2 linked regions of the Pelodiscus sinensis genome follow. The protein of the gene in region 1 purifies or fractionates together with the protein of each later gene. This does not show direct contact. Links are inferred from orthologs where the notes say so. Each region holds a gene or a part of one and is shown in the gene's direction. Other genes may lie near its edges.

Evidence for each region. The genes of interacting proteins can lie anywhere in the genome.
Region 2: the proteins of PPP6R2 (region 1) and ANKRD52 purify together in Homo sapiens (affinity purification with mass spectrometry; 3 studies listed by BioGRID and IntAct, counting the BioPlex papers as one, with this or other methods). This does not show direct contact. The link is inferred for Pelodiscus sinensis from reciprocal best matches to the Homo sapiens genes PPP6R2 and ANKRD52.

The regions. Positions count from the first base shown.
Region 1 is NC_134711.1:648,510-657,027, forward strand, and holds the start of PPP6R2 (serine/threonine-protein phosphatase 6 regulatory subunit 2), read left to right. Parts: upstream 1-5,305; 5' UTR 5,306-5,462; intron 5,463-8,518. UniProt on the Homo sapiens protein: Regulatory subunit of protein phosphatase 6 (PP6). May function as a scaffolding PP6 subunit. Involved in the PP6-mediated dephosphorylation of NFKBIE opposing its degradation in response to TNF-alpha.
Region 2 is NC_134729.1:3,912,909-3,920,645, forward strand, and holds the start of ANKRD52 (serine/threonine-protein phosphatase 6 regulatory ankyrin repeat subunit C), read left to right. Parts: upstream 1-4,286; 5' UTR 4,287-4,410; coding exon 4,411-4,437; intron 4,438-7,737. UniProt on the Homo sapiens protein: Putative regulatory subunit of protein phosphatase 6 (PP6) that may be involved in the recognition of phosphoprotein substrates.

The DNA.
Region 1 (8,518 bases):
GGAGCTAGGCTGAGGCTCCCACTGTGCCTGCGGGACAGGTCCGGTGGTTTGGTGGGCTGGATTCAACCCTCAAGCCGTATTTTGCCTGCTCCTGGCATAGATGGCCAAGCTCTGTTGTTAATTTCTGCCTCTTCTACCAACTAACAGAGTACGAGAGCTCACTCTGCTATGCAGTATCAAAGCAAAATGAGCACTTACCAGAGCTCCCCTCTCCTACACCCTGTGCGCCAGAGGTGGGGGGCTGGGACTGGACCCTCCCCTGCCACTGGATGACCCTGCCGTTTGCTCCATATCCTCCTCCTGCCCCTTTTGCCAACCACTTTGCCACTAGGGTTGACTCTCTGGCCACGGCCTCCAGTTCCCCTGAAGTATCTGTGGGGCTCTTGGCAGTGGAGGTGAGGTTCCCACCAAGGGTGGTGTGCAGTTCCTTAAACTCTTTGGCGCCACACCAGAGTGAGAGCTAGCCTCCCTTGCCTTCTGGTAGGCCAGCCGCAGCTCCTTGATGTTGGCCTAGCATGGTTGCATTTTCTGTGTGTTGTGGACAAGAACTGACTTTTGTCGCTAAAACCGTGTAGCGTAGACCAGGACTTAGGAGTCCAAGAGCAGGGGCGGAGAACCTAAAACTAGATGCACGGATGCTATACAAAAGGGTTTGCTGAGCATTGGCATTTCTGAGGAGCTGCTTCTAGACAGAATGGAAAGGGACTCAAAGAGCCACCCCCAAATAGATGGTAGAAAGGCTAGAAGTAAAAGAATTGATTGGATGTTAATAAACTGACATTGCCCTGCATGAGAAGCTAAAAATGTAAATGTAGAGCCGGTGGAGTCACTCCAGATTTACACCACTGTAATATGGAGCAGAATCTGGCCCAGTGACTAGAAACTGCATTAAAATCATTTAACAGATGTAGATATTGGGATAGAGAGTACGCTTATTAAGTTTGCAGATGATACCAAACTGGGTGGGGTTGCGACTTCTTTGGAGGATAGGGACATAATTCAAAATGACCTTAGCAGGTTAGAGAAATGGTCAGAGGTAAACAGGATGAGGTTTAATAAAGAGAAATGCAAAGTGCTCCACTTAGGAAGGAACAATCAGTTCCATACATACAAGATGGGAAGCGACTGTCTAGGAAGGAGCATGGCGGAAAGGGATCTAGGGGTCATAGTGGACCACAAGTTGAATATGAGTCAACAGTGTGATGCTGTTGCAAAAAAAGCAAATATGATTCTAGGTTGTATCAACAGGTGTGTTGTAAGCAAAACTCGTGAAGTCATTCTGCCGCTCTACTCTGCACTAGTTAGGCCTCAGCTGGAGTACTGTGTCCAGTTCTGGGCGCCACATTTCAAGAAAGATGTGGAGAAATTGGAAAGGGTACAGAGAAGAGCGACAAGAATGATTAAAGGTTTAGAGAACATGACCTATGAAGCCAGGCTTCATGAACTGGGCTTGTTTAGTTTGGAAAAAAGAAGATTAAGGGGGGACATGATAGCGGTTTTCAAATATCTAAAAGGGTGTCACAAGGAGGAAGGCGAAAATTTGTTCCTCTTGGTTTCTGAGGACAGGACAAGGAGTAATGGGCTTAAAGTGCAGCAGGGGAGGTTTAGATTGGACATTAGAAAAAAATTCCTAACTGTCAGGGTGGTCAAATATTGGAATAAATTGCCAAGGGAGGTGGTGGAATCTCCCTCTCTGGAGATATTTAAGGACAGGTTAGATAGACATCTGTCAGGGATGGTGTAGACAGAGCTTGGTCCTGCCTTGAGGGCGGGGGGCTGGACTCGATGACCTCTCGAGGTCCCTTCCAGTCCTTTTATTCTATGATTCTATGATTCTAACAGACTATTGTATTTGTCCAGATAGAGAGAAATCCCTTTACCAATACAAACTATATTTGGTGTCCTTTCCCTCCTATGTGTCTGTCCAAGATACTGATTGTTAAGCTTTAAATCTGAGCTTGACTGTTCGTCTGCCCTGTAATCTGAGTCTTGGAAGATGTAATTGTCAAGGGAGACATCTGGAGCTCACCCAGGATCTGTGCTGGCCTTGTGCCCATTATTGTTCCTCTTTGAAATGACAGTGCACATTTCTTTAGTATGTCTTCTGCCTATTGTTTGCTTCTCAGAGGTTCCTAGACCTATCACTACCATTCTTACTTAATCTTTTTGGCAAACACTTGCCCAGATAAAATGTATGTGTGGTGGTGACAGCTGTACGAATTTCCTTGATTCCTTGAAGGCATTTTATAGAAGGGGAAAACTATTTGGCTGAATTCGCTGGTCTTTTTGGTTCACATGGACTCCACTTTAATATTCTTAATCGGACTTCTCAAGCCCTTTCTCTACAAATAAACAGATTTAAATGATCTTAAATTCCTTTTAAATTTTTGCTTCATTTGTCTCCTCGGTAACTTAGCCTATTTAGTTGTCCAGGGAGAAATTCAGTGCCATAATACAATTTTTCTGCAATCTGAGATGCATGTGTATCTGAGATCCTAGACTCAACAAATTAAAGGTTGTATTGTAATATTGTATCGTCTGGGAAAACTTGTGACCTCATGGTTAAAGACTGCACCAGAAAGCATACACATGGTAACCGAGGCAGGCTTTGGCATTCAATCTTAACATTGATATTTCTTAACTTTTTGACGGGTTCTGATGATCTGAGGCTTGGCCCCGGAGTATTTCACTTGGTTGTTGTAGAGCTTTTACTTGGGCTTCCCAAGTGTTCTGGGCCTGTGACATTTAGGAATTCTGTGGCAGAGAGATGCAGAGAACTTCTGGTCTGCAGAGAAGGTAAGTAAGCTCCCAAACTCTAGACTAGAGGACGAGGCCTGCCAGAGTTCAGTTTTCCTGAGGTATCTAAGAACCACGGGTCCAGAGTTTTATTCCTATGAAGTTCCCAAATTCTGACCATATTTTTGCACTTAAGGTCCTGCAGAACTTAAGCGTATTTGGGGGCTGACCTCACCAAAGCTCTCACTAATCTCTCCTCAGATGGCAGTCATTCCATACCCCTAATATTTTTATGTTGCCCTTTTCTGAACTTTTTCCAATGCCGATGTATCTTTTTTGAGAGGAGGCGACCACATCGGTACGCGGTATTCAAGACGTGAGTGTTCCATAGATTAAAAGAGAGGCAATAAAATATTCACTGTCTTATTCTCTATCCCCTTCTTAATGATTCCCAGTATCCTGTTTAAAAGTCATCGAAGAGGCCCTGCCTTAAAGAGCTTACAGACTAACTCCAGGTCTACTGGAAACATTTGCAGGTGTAGTAACACCAATTAGGAATTGTGTGTGTGTGTGTGTGTGTGTGTGTGTGTGTGTAATAAGCCTATATTTGCAAAAGTCCTAGTGTGGATAGAGTTCTACTAGTAAAACCACCCTTATACTGTATACATTATACTACCAAAAACACTTTTTTGCCTGTATAAACTGTGCCTACATTAGGGGTGTATGCCGGTTTAGTGTTACTGGAAAAAATCTTTTCTCCTGAAGACAGGGTTGCCAGGTGTCCGGTTTTCACCCAGACTGTCCGTTATTTGGGTCCCCCGTCCGGTTAAAAAACCAGAAAATACTGGACATGTGAACTGTCCAGTATTTCCTGTTTCCCTCGGACAGAAGCCCGGCGGGGACAATTTTCCCCTGCAGTGTCTGGTGGGGGCCGGGGAGTTAGGAGCACAGGGCCATTTAAAGTCGTGGTGCCCCTTTTTTTTTTCTTAACAACTTTGGTTTCCCCCTTTTTTTTCTCAACGGAATTTTTCCTGGTGTTTTGTTTTGTTTTTTTGCGGGGAGGGGGGAGATGTTCGGTATTTTTTGTTAAACCATCTGGCAACCCTACCTGAAGATTTGGCCATCATCTCCAAACCTGCAAAGACTTGCATGTGAGTAACTTTATTTATGTGAGTAGCCCTTTAGACTTCCATGAAATAACACAAATGCTGAACATTAAGACTGAAAGTATTTGCAGGATGAAGGCCTAAATAAGACAGGCAAAGGGAAGACAAGACACACTGAGAGACTATGGGAAATGGTCCAATGTGACATTTTTCAAATTCCAAGTAATCATTTTCTTGTACCAGGCTGGCATGTAGAGGGCAGTTGAACTGATTTTTAAAAAGAGCTTCAGAGAACATCCTGGCAATTACAGGCGGGATGGGGGTGGATCAGGGCGGGAAAGAGCGGAGCAGGAGTGAGGCCTGGGGTAGAGGTGAGGGTTGTCCCAGCCCTCCTCCCTAAGGATGGTAGAAGAGAAATCATGGTTTTTTTGGGGGCTGAGGGGGCGCTGGTCAGTACCCAGCAACTGGTAGAAACTATGGTAAAAACAAAATGATCAGACCAATCAATAATGTGTTTTGTGGGGAAAGAGCCAATGTGGCTTTTCTAAGGGAAATCATGCCTCACTAATCTATTAGGATTCTTTAAGGGTGTTAACAAGCACATGGATACAGGGAGTCAATCAATATTTATACCAGGTCTTTCACCAAACTTAAGAACATAAGTACCCATAGTATAAGTAGCCATTCTCCCCCACGCCAAATGCCATTCCCACCCGCCACGGAACCTTCCCATCCTCCTCATGGAACCTTCCCATCTCCCTTCCCCATGCCCATGGAACCTTCCCCCTCCCGCCCATGGGACCTTCCCATCTCCCCTCCCCATGCCCATGGGACCTTCCCATCTCCCCTCCCCATGCCCATGGAACCTTCCCCCTCCCGCCCATGGGACCTTCCCATCTCCCTTCCCCATGCCCATGGAACCTTCCCCCTCCCGCCCATGGGACCTTCCCATCTCCCCTCCCCATGTCCATGGAACCTTCCCCCTCCCGCCCATGGGACCTTCCCATCTCCCCTCCCCATGCCCATGGAACCTTCCCCCTCCCGCCCATGGGACCTTCCCATCTCCCCTCCCCATGCCCATGGGACCTTCCCATCTCCCCTCCCATGGGACCTTCCCATCTCCCTTCCCCATGCCCATGGAACCTTCCCCCTCCCGCCCATGGGACCTTCCCAGCTCCCCTCCCCATGTCCATGGAACCTTCCCCCTCCCGCCCATGGGACCTTCCCATCTCCCCTCCCCATGCCCATGGAACCTTCCCCCTCCCGCCCATGGGACCTTCCCATCTCCCCTCCCCATATCCATGGAACCTTCCCCCACCCCATGGAACCGTCCCATCTCCCCTCCCCATGCCCATGGAACCTTCCCCCTGCTCCTACCCTGGAGCTGCCCAGCGGCTTCACGTGCCTGTCACTCCATTGGCCCCGCCCACTCCGCGCGGCAGGCCCGCCCCCTTCCCGGGTCTGGGCAGGCCGCTCCCGCCGCCATTTTGGAGCGAGCGAGCCTGAGGCGTCCGAGCCCTCAGCCCGGCGCCCGGTGACAGCGCGACCCGCCGCCGCCCCTCGCGCCTCTGCAGCCGGGGAGCGGCCGCGCCTCGGGCCGCGCGGGGAGGCCCCGAGCAGGTGAGAGCGCGGCCGAGCCCGGGGTCCCTGGGGACGGAGCCGCCGCGCGCCCGGCTCCCTGCCGGCAGCGCCCCCCAGCCCCCCCGGGCCCCCCGGGCCTGCCCCCCCGAACCTCCCGAGCTCCCTGCCGGCAGCGCCCCCCAGCCCCCCCGGGCCCCCCCCGGGCCTGCCCCCCCGAACCCCCCCGAGCTCCCTGCCGGCAGCGCCCCCCCGGGCCCCCCCGGGCCTGCCCCCCCCGAACCCCCCCGAGCTCCCTGCCGGCAGCGCCCCCGAGAGCCCCCCCCGGGCCCCGCCGAACCCCCCCCGAGCTCCCTGCCGGCAGCGCCCCCGAGAGCCCCCCCCACCCCCCCCCGAACCCCCGCGAGCTCCCTGCCGGCAGCGCCCCCCAGCCCCCCCGGGCCCCCCCCGGGCCTGCCCCCCCGAACCCCCCCGAGCTTCCTGCCGGCAGCGCCCCCCCGGGCCCCCCCGGGCCTGCCCCCCCGAACCCCCCCGAGCTCCCTGCCGGCAGCGCCCCCGAGAGCCCCCCCCCGGGCCCCGCCGAACCCCCCCCGAGCTCCCTGCCGGCAGCGCCCCCGAGAGCCCCCCCCCACCCCCCCCGAACCCCCGCGAGCTCCCTGCCGGCAGCGCCCCCCAGCCCCCCCGGGCCCCCCCCGGGCCTGCCCCCCCGAACCCCCCCGAGCTCCCTGCCGGCAGCGCCCCCCCGGGCCCCCCGGGCCCCCCCGGGCCTGCCCCCCCGAACCCCCCCGAGCTCCCTGCCGGCAGCGCCCCCGAGAGCCCCCCCGGGCCCGCCCCCCCGAACCCCCCCGAGCTCCCTGCCGGCAGCGCCCCCGAAAGTCCCCCCCGGGCCCCCCCGGGCCTGCCCCCCCGAACCCCCCCGAGCTCCCTGCCGGCAGCGCCCCCGAGAGTCCCCCCCGGGCCCCTCCGGGCCTGCCCCCCCGAACCCCCCCGAGCTCCCTGCCGGCAGCGCCCCCGAGAGCCCCCCCAAACCCCCCGGGCCTGATCCCCTCCCGAGAGCCCCCCGGTCCCGCCCCCATCGGGCCCCCCCGAGCTCCCTGCCGGCAGCGCCCCCGAGAGCCCCCCCAGCCCCCCGGGCCTGCCCCCCCGAACCCCCGAGAGCCCCCCCTGAGCTCCCTGCCAGCAGCGCCCCCGAGAGCCCCCCCAGCCCCCAGCCCCCCCGGGCCTGCCCCCCCGAACCCCCGAGAGCCCCCCCGGGTCCCCCCCCCGAGCTCCCTGCCGGCAGCGCCCCCGAGAGCCCCCCCCCGGGCTGGCCCCTCGAGCTTGACCCCCCCCGAGCCCGCCCCGAGCTCCCTGCCGGCAGCGCCCCCGAGAGTCCCCCCCGGGCCCCTCCGGGCCTGCCCCCCCGAACCCCCCCGAGCTCCCTGCCGGCAGCGCCCCCGAGAGCCCCCCCAAACCTCCCGGGCCTGATCCCCTCCCGAGAGCCCCCCGGTCCCGCCCCCATCGGGCCCCCCCGAGCTCCCTGCCGGCAGCGCCCCCGAGAGCCCCCCCAGCCCCCCGGGCCTGCCCCCCCGAACCCCCGAGAGCCCCCCCTGAGCTCCCTGCCAGCAGCGCCCCCGAGAGCCCCCCCAGCCCCCAGCCCCCCCGGGCCTGCCCCCCCGAACCCCCGAGAGCCCCCCCGGGTCCCCCCCCCGAGCTCCCTGCCGGCAGCGCCCCCGAGAGCCCCCCCCCGGGCTGGCCCCTCGAGCTTGACCCCCCCGAGCCCGCCCCGAGCTCCCTGCTGGCAGCACCCCCGAGAGCCTGCCTCCCCGAGTACCCCCCGGGCCTGCCCCCCCTGAGCTCCCTGCCCCGCCCAGCCCCCTGCCCCCCGACCCCCTCCGGGCCTGCCCCCCCGAACCTCCCGAGCTCCCTGCCAGCAGCGCCCCCGAGTCCCCCAGGAGCCTGCCCCCCGAGCCCCCCGAACTCCCTGAGCCCCCAGTGCCCCCCCGCGCTCCGAGCCCTCAGCGCCCCCGAGGCCTGCCCCCAAGCTGCGTGATCCACTGAGGGCCCCCTGAGCTGTCTGACCTCCCAACACTTCCCCAGCTGTCTGATCCCCCCCTCCAGTGCCCCCCTGAGCTGCCTGACCCCCCAGCACCCCGAGCTGTCTGCCCCCCTGTGCTCCTCCCCAGCGCCCCTGAGCTGTCTGACACTCCCAGCACCCCCCCAGTGCTCCCTGGAGCTGTCTGATGCCCCCCCCAGTGCCTCCCTGGAGCTGGCAGTGCCCCCCCATACCTCTCAGAGCTGTCTGACACCCCCTCCCAGTGCACCTGGAGCTTTTTGTGCCCCCTTAACTCCCAAAGCTGTTTGACCCTTCTCCCATTACCTGCCCCGGAGCTGTCTGAGCTCCCGGTGATGCCTCTAGCCCCCAGTGTGCCTGCCCTGTGAGCTCCCTTACCAGGTGTCTTCCTCCTTTGGGTGTGCCTATCACCATGGGCCTCCCCTGAGGTGACTAAGCCCTCCTCCCAGTTGAGGTGTCTACATCCCTGGATGGACCTGCTCCAAAGTGTGTGTTGTCCTCCCTCCCCTGGGAATCTGAGCCATCATGAGCTCTCCCCCATAGTGTCTGCCCTCTAGCCTCATGAAGCACGTGAGGCCCCCTTTATCCAATGTGCCTGCCCTCTTGAGCTCCCTCTCTCTGGATATATCTGAGCCCCCCATAGAGATGCCTGTGGATCTAGATGTGCTTCACTCTCCCAACATCCATGAGCCCTCTCCATGGAAACATCAGTCCCCCCCACCTCCTGCTTGCCTTCCTGTGGTACCCTGAGCTTGCCTGCCTCACCATGTACTCATCAGTGTGTCTGCTTCCTGAGTCTCCCCATGTACTCCCCAAGTTGGCTCCTTGTGAGACCTGTGATCCCCTCCACTGACTGTGTGTGCCTCCCTAGCCTGCGCAGCACACCCTGATCCCTCCCTAGATGTGTCAGTCTCCTGAGCCCCCCCAGATGTGTCTGCTCCCTCATGACCCTTCCTACCCCCTGTATCTGCCCACTGCCTCCTCCCGTGAATCCTTCTCACCTCCAGTGTCCACCTCGCCATTTGTAACACTACTGACCCTCCTT
Region 2 (7,737 bases), on another chromosome or scaffold:
TCATGATCATCTCACTATCATCTCCGACCAAAGCAGGAAGCCATGTCATGCCATCAGAACACATCATAACAACCTTTTCCCCAAAGTGAGCTTTTGCTCCGTGGGCTTTCTTGAGGATCCTAGAAATCATCCTTAAAGCACGACTGGGTCAAACCACTTATCCATGTTTCATCTTTCTTTGACTATAATCATAATAAAATACACTTACCGTTGAACTCTGGTTTTGCATTCATGAATCTCAAAGTGCTTTACAAACTAATATTGACGTCTCAGAGACCTCATGGGAGGGTTAAAACTATGATGCTCATTTCATCGATGGAAGAACTGGGGCAGCAAAAAGGTAAGTAACCTGCCTATGCCTGTGTTGCAGCCATGAACAGAACCCAGGAGTCCTGACTCCTAGATCGATGGGCTAAGCCAGTGCTGGTCAAGATGCATCCCGGGGACCGGAGCCAGCCCACCTAACACTTTGATCCAGCCTGCAGACTGCATCTGGCCAGATTCTATTTATATCCTGCTGCCCGGGCCACTGAATTTCCAGGCAGTGGCTCAGGCAGCAGGATTGTATTTAAAGGGCTCACGACTGCCAGTCGTGGTGCTTCCCCAGCAGGGGCTGGAGCTGTGAGCCCTTTAAATCGCCACAGCAACCCAGCACAGGGCAGCCAGCTCTTTAATTCAAAGCTTCCAGCCCCAGACAACTCTGGAGGGAGGCTAGCCCCATGCTCTGCCCCTTCCACTCCAGGCCCTGCCGGCCCATGACCACCTACCAAAATTCATTAAGTGGCCCCCTTGCAAAAATTATTGCCCACCTCTGGGCTAAGCAATATATCCTGGGACTGATTAGCAGTTAGTGTCTAAACAGTTCCAGATGTCCTTCTATTTTCATTCTCACCACCATTCCCTTTTGACCTTGGAATCTATGAATCATCTAATTCCATCTTCTTTTGGGGAAGCCAGTTACCGAATGTTGCTCAAACCCCAGCTATCAGAGAATTGGACTAGGAATCCCCTCCTTTTGCTTCCTTTGTGGGCAAAGAGAGAAGAAAAAGAGAGGCTACACTACAAATGACTGGAGTAGTCCTCCAGATGCACCAGGCTGCTGATCTTGTGATGCCAGGGAAGGTTTAGTCCGACTGCTTCCTCCTTCGGGGAAATATGTCACTGGTGAAAATGTCAACAGCTGCTCTTCATGGCTTTTCAGTGCTATGATTTCACCTTGATTTCACTGGTAGGTAACACTTGGCTAATGGTCCAAAACCATGATAAAAATAGCCCAGCTACAGTATCAACAGTACAAACAGCTTCCCGGCTCCTCCTCTGAGCTCAGTTCAACCGGAGATCAAAAGTAGAGCCCCAAGTGGTGCTGCCCCACCAGCCCCCCAGACTATGTCCCCACCACGCTCCATGGCAGTCAATGTAAATATGTCTGTGGATGTTGTTTCAAAACACAGAGGCAGCTATTCAAAGCGGCGCCCTCAAATAGCGACAGAGAGGGCAATTAGAAACGCCTTGCCACAGCAGAAAATGGTTATTCAGCTCCTCTGGTTGCACCGATCACTTGTTTCTTTAAACAGGACTTTTTCTTTGAGGCGCTCCCAAAACTTGCCCCAACAAGCACCAGGGTGGCAGCTTTTGGAAGCTCTCCTGAACTGTAGCTGCCTAGTAGAGACTACAGGTCCCTACATCTACAAGGCCCGCTGAAATGTCCCAGGATCAATTGGTAAAGATTTGTGAGCCACTTTTGGGGCCTTTTGTCTGGCAGGTTTCACTTGCCTATGAGGTCGCTATTAGAGTCATTCAGCAATGGTTATCTGGGGTCCACAGAGCACCACTTTGTTGTTATGATTTGTTACTTGTTAAGCAAAGACAATATGCTAGGTGCTCTGGTATAGGGATGTGAAGAATAGTTGACTAGTCCTTCCCCATCCTCCTTGCTGCCTCTATCTAGCCAAACCTGGCAGCCTTGGGACAAAGGAAGGATAAGGGGGGCCCAAAATGTAGGGAGGTCAGAGGCAGCAAAGAAGAGGGGGTACTTCAAAGCAGCAGCACCTCTTGAAGCCTGGTGCCAGGCTCCACACAGCACTGCCCCTTTGAAACACCACATGCAGCCTGGGGCCAGCTGCAGTGTCCCCAGGCTGCATGCAGAGTTTCAAAGGGGCAGCACCACATGGAACCCAGGATCAACTGGGGACTCCCCTGACGATCCTGGGCTCTGTGCAGCGCTGCCATGTTAAAACACCATGGGGAGCCCAGTGTCAGGCAGCACTGCATGGAGCCCAGGATCAAGCCCAGCCGACCCCAGGCTCCACATGGCACCTTTGCCTTTGAAGTGTAGCAACAACCCTAGGGCATCGATTAGTCAATATTTAACATCCTTATCCTTACTCTGGTATCAAAACAATCCTTGGTCTGAAGAACCTACAACCTACAATATAACATCCCAATCCTGAAAACATCTACTACCAAGCGCAATGCGTACTTCCATAAATAGATCCTTTGAATTCATAGATGGAAGCATTTACACCTGGGAGTGAGTTTTAAAGGATCAGGACCTAAAAGACTGGCACAGAAATGAGAACTGTTTAATAGTTAATTTCTTGTGTACATGGTGAAACCAGGAGATTTTAGGAAGGCACCTGAAGAAAGAGATCTGAATTCTGCACTACACAGTCATGACGGTCTCTTCTGGCCTTGACGTCTATGAGAGTCACTTCACTGGGCACCCCTCTGTTTCAGCTTCCTAAAATCAGAGAGTCAAGTCCATGTAAAACTCGGACCTCCTGATTTCCAGATGAGAGGGATAGCCACAAAGGACCAAACTTTCCACTCTGAGGTCCGGTCTCTACTCGACAATATGATTAGTATAGCTACATTTGTTAGGAGCGTAAAAAAAATCATACCCCAACCGATAGGCCTGGATTGGCAAAAGATCTAGTGTAGACACAGTTTTAGCGGCAACAAAAATATTTGGCAAGTCTTAACGATTCCATTGGGCGAACAGAATGAAAAACCGTTTTGCTGGAATCGCTGTCTCCACTAGGGGGATTACCATTGTGTCCGTACCAGCAAACCCTTTGTAAACAAGGCCTGAGAGGCAGCTTGGTCTGTGCTAGGAGTGTTCTCTGGAAAACGTGCACTTGTGCGGCTGCTTAGGAGAAATTCCAATGTTACCCAGCTGATTAGTAGAGCGCCCATAGCTAGACTTTTTGTTGCTACTGGTGGTGCACATCCCTCAGTGCACATCAAAAAATTATTCCACACAGGGTGGGAAAAAATCCACACATGGATGGAAAAGATTAGAGGTAATCTTTTATTGTGAATACTAGATACTTTTTATTGTGAATACTAGATACAAGTCAGTGGATTCTCAGATAGAAGTGCAAAGAATGAATGTAATAATTTGATCAGCTTTTAATTCTTATTTATTACAGGGGCTACCAACCCATCCCACTTGGAAGCCATCAGGAAATGGTGGTAGATCCCTGTGGTTATAGCAATTGACCAGACGTGTAGGTAGGGCTGTTCCTCACCTCTTGCCACAGGCTTTGGGGGGACACTGAGGCACCTAACTTGCCCAAGTTTCTCTATTGTTTTGCTCACCCGTCTCAGCTGAGACCCAACCATGTGGGGTGGATGGACTGGGTTTGAGGGAAGCTCACAGGCCCACGTGCAAAATGGACTTACCTGGATTGCCCCTGTTGAGGCGATGGCAAAGTTCAGGAGAAGTGATGCACCCCAGGGCAAAAAGGGGGTGCCAGGTTGTCCAGGGGGTCCAGGCTGCAGGGTCCAGGCACTGCTGGCAGGGGTGGCCCTAAGTGACCCTCCTCTGTCAGAGAGGATCTCTTTGAGGCCCTGGCACCTAGCCCAGCACCTCTTGGGCCCCAGATCCACTGCAGAGCTCCATGGGTCCCAGGTCACCCCCCCTGGAGACTCACACATCTCGCCCCCCCCCCCCCGGGATCCATGGGGCCTGGCCCCCCCTCTCGGGGATCCATGGGAGCCGGCCCCCCCTCAGGGATCCATGGGGCCTGCCCCCCCCCCTCCGGGATCCATGGGGCATGGCCCCCCCCTCCGGGATCCATGGGAGCCGGCCCCCCCCTCTCAGGGATCCATGGGAGCCGGCCCCCCCCTCTCAGGGATCCATGGGGCCCGCCCCCCCCTTCTCGGGGATCCATGGGGCCGGCCCCCCCCCCGGGGATCCATGGGGCCTGGCCCCCCCCTCTCGGGGATCCATGGGACCTGCCCCCCCCCCCCGGCTCCAGGGCCCCGCCCCGCGCGGGCGGGCTGGCCGCGGGCCGGCAGGGGTCGCTGCGCTCGGGCCCGGTGGGCGGGCTCAGTCCCTCCCCGCCCCGCAGCCGGAGCCGCCGCGGCCGGAGCCTGATGCCGGGAGCTCGGCGCTGAGGCCCGGAGATGGGGATCCTCAGCATCGCGGACCAGGTACCCCCCCCCCGGCCGCGCGGCCTGGCCCCCCCCCCCCCCCGCCGGGCGCCGCCCCAAGGCCCGGCCCCGCCGCGCGCTGCCTCCTTCCCGCCCTCGGGCCCGGCCCCCCCGCCCGGCCCCCGGGCCCCCCCGCCAGTCCCTGGGTCTCCCCGCCCCCCTGCAACCCCCGCTCCCCATCAGGTCTCCCCGGGCCCCCCCCGCCCTCCGGTCTCGTCGCCTTCCTGCCCCCCCCCGCCGGGTCCCCCCACCCGGCCTCCGTGCCCACCCCGCTCCGCCCCCCTGCAACCCTCGCCCCCCATCGGGTCCCCCCGCCCCCCCGCCTGACCCCCGGGCCCCCTCGCCCCCCCTCGCCTGACCCCCGGGCCCCCTCGCCCCCCGGTTCCCCCGCCTCCCCCGCCGGGTCCCCCCGCCTGACCCCCGGGTCTCCCCGCCCGGCCCCCGGCCTCCGTGCCCCCCCCCGCTCCACCCCCCGGGTCCCCTCGCCCGCCCCCCGCCGGTCCCTGGGTCCCCCCGGCCTCCCTGCCCCCCCGCCTGACCCCCGGGTCTTCCCGCCCCCCCCCCCCGCCTGCCCTCTCTTCCTGATCCCCGGGTCCCTCTGGCCTCTCTGCCCCCCCGCCCCCCCAGTCTCTGCCCCCCTCGGCTTCTCTGCCCCTCCCCGTCTGACCCCCGGGTCCCCACCCACCCCCCGGCCTCTCTGCTCCCGCCATCCACTCCTCGCCCCTCCTCCCGCCTGCCCCCAGGACCCCCCTCTGCCCCGCTTCCGTCCCTCCCCCATCTTTTGCTCCTTGCCGACCTGCTGCCCCATTTCCCCGCACCAGCTCCGCCCCGCTGGGCCTGCCTGCATCTCCCCCCCCCATCGGTGTCTCCCCATCTTCTCCCTGCCACCTGGCCCTCCTGTGCCCATCTCCTTCCTGACCCCGTCTCCACCAGCCCCCCCACATCCAACCTTTTTAACCCGCAACCTCCCCAAAAAATGTCCTGGACAGGATTTGAGTCTCCCCGCCTTTATTCCTGCCTGCTCCCTCTGCACCCCACTCTCCCCTTCTTTCAGCCTCCCTCTGGAGAGAGGGGGGGTTGATTTGGCATCATCCACAGTGGGCACCCCACTTTCACAAGTTAAAGGGCAATTCATCTCACCCCCCACACACTTGTGTTATTTGGGGAGTGGGGTAGCATGCCCTGCCGTTTCCCTGCGTGCTGGCAGGCATTTTGCATGTCCCCTGTTGTCTGGGGTGGGGATGTGTGATTCAGCATCCCTACAAACACGGGTCTTGAGCCCCATTTTCCTTGGGGGCAGATGTGAGGCCTGTTTGCACACCACTTGGCTTGTGGGACAACACCCAGCTCAGCAGGGCTGCCTGATCTCAGTAGGTACCCCCACTCCCCAAAAGGGGTGTGTGTGTGTGTGAGGAAGAGCGACTGTTGCGGCTTCCATCACCACGCACCATTTCCTTTAGAAATAGGGATGTTAAAATGGTTAACCGGTTAAATGCTAGCGCTTCACCGGTGAACCATTTTAACTTGGAGTCTGGCCCTGCAGCGGCTATGGGGCCCAGCCGGCTGGTCTCTCTGCTATGGGGGCTGCTTTAGCCACCCCTGGGGGTCACCAGCAAGGGTGGATCAGCTGGTTAACATGTAAGCATATCAGAAAGCCTCATGCTTACCAGTTCACTGTGTCACAGCCCTTCTTAAAAAGGTCAGGTTTCAACCATCTCTGCTTTTGCAAGAAGCGGGACTTTTATTTCCCTCTCCCTGCAGTGTATATACTTCATCTTCCTAAGGCAGGATATGTTGATGCATCATTGTTCTTTGCTTCTCTCCTGGCTTGTCCTCCAATCCCCCTCCCCTGGCCTACCAACATCTAATCTTTACCCCCTGATTTGATGTGACAGGTTTGTTTTTGAGAGCCAGGCTTCTGACTCTTTGAAGCCAAATATTTACCCCTCCCTTGGTCCCTTGCTGTTGCAATCTCACTGATAGGCCAGGTTTTTAAAGCCTCACGTGTCAGGGAGAGAAGGAAAAGGGGAGCTGACCTAAGATTTAAATAGAATTTTTTTTTTTGGGTAACCAAAACATGCAGCTTCCCTTGTGAATGGTAGGTGGGTGTGTCCGTCCCAGCATTGCCGGCAAGCGCCACTGAGGTCTGTGCAGGGCATAATTATCGGCTGTGCATCCTTTTTTGTTTTTGAAATGCCTCATGCTGGTACTAAGTCCGCTGCATTCCACGCAAATGACTCGCTCCTTCTCTCTGATCCCCCCCACCTGTAGCTGCTTTCATGCCTGCGTTTGGACGGAGGGGATGAGCGGGAAGCTGGGGAGCAGGGGCGGGAAGTCTGCCCTGGAAATGCAAGTTCCAGGTTCCGGCTACTGAGCAGATGCCGTGGGGGCTTGTGGTCTCCAGTGCTTGGTGCAGAGAGCTGACTTACTGGGCTGCCTTGAGCCGAGGGTGTTTGTTTTCAGTCCTGGCCCCAGCGCACTTGTTTCTGTACAGACGGAAAGGCCCAGGATAAACAATGGCGGGTAGTCTGGGCCTGGCAGAGAGGTGCAGGGTAGCTGCCAAAGCGTGGGGCTGCCTCTGCTGATGCAGGTGTGTTATGCCTGTGCCGTCAGAACCAAAGATGCCAGTTGGGATTCTGACTTCCCCTGAAGTCCATTGTCCAGGGTACAGCTCCTGTTAACTGTGTGGTCTCAGCCTCCAGGAGCAGAGAGGTGGGGACGGAGGGTGATGCTAGGGACAGACCTGGAGTCCGAGTGCATAAATAACTGTTTGTCCTTCAAGATCCATTTTAGGCCACCAGGAAGTTCAGTGTCGGCATTTTCTGGCTAAAGCCAAGTCTTACGGCAACTAAAGCTAGAACCAGGAGTAGTGTTGTGGGAGGGGAAAAGGGTTTGGCGGTTACTGAGCATGGGATTTGAGAGGCCCACTCTAGGCCGTGTTCACTCGGCTCCCTACATGGGCTCTGAAGAGAGACTCCTTGGGTTCAGGGCCTGCCTTTCTGCCTGCAGGAGGCTTTTCATAACAATCTAGCTGTCTTGAGTATTTGCTTGACTGATGCTATATCCCATTGGGAGTGAGCAGCTCAGGGAATTTGGAGGAGGGATGCAGCATCTTTCCCCTCTACGGCACTCGTTCCAAATCAGGCTGGGTAAGAAACGTAGGAACTGCCAGACTGGATCAGACCTGTCATCCATCTAGCCCGGGGTGGCCAACCCCTTAAAGTGCGGCTCGTGAAGCCTCCCCCACAGCTTGCAAAACCATCCCTGCGCCCCTAGAAATGGTCCCCGCCCCCCAACTCC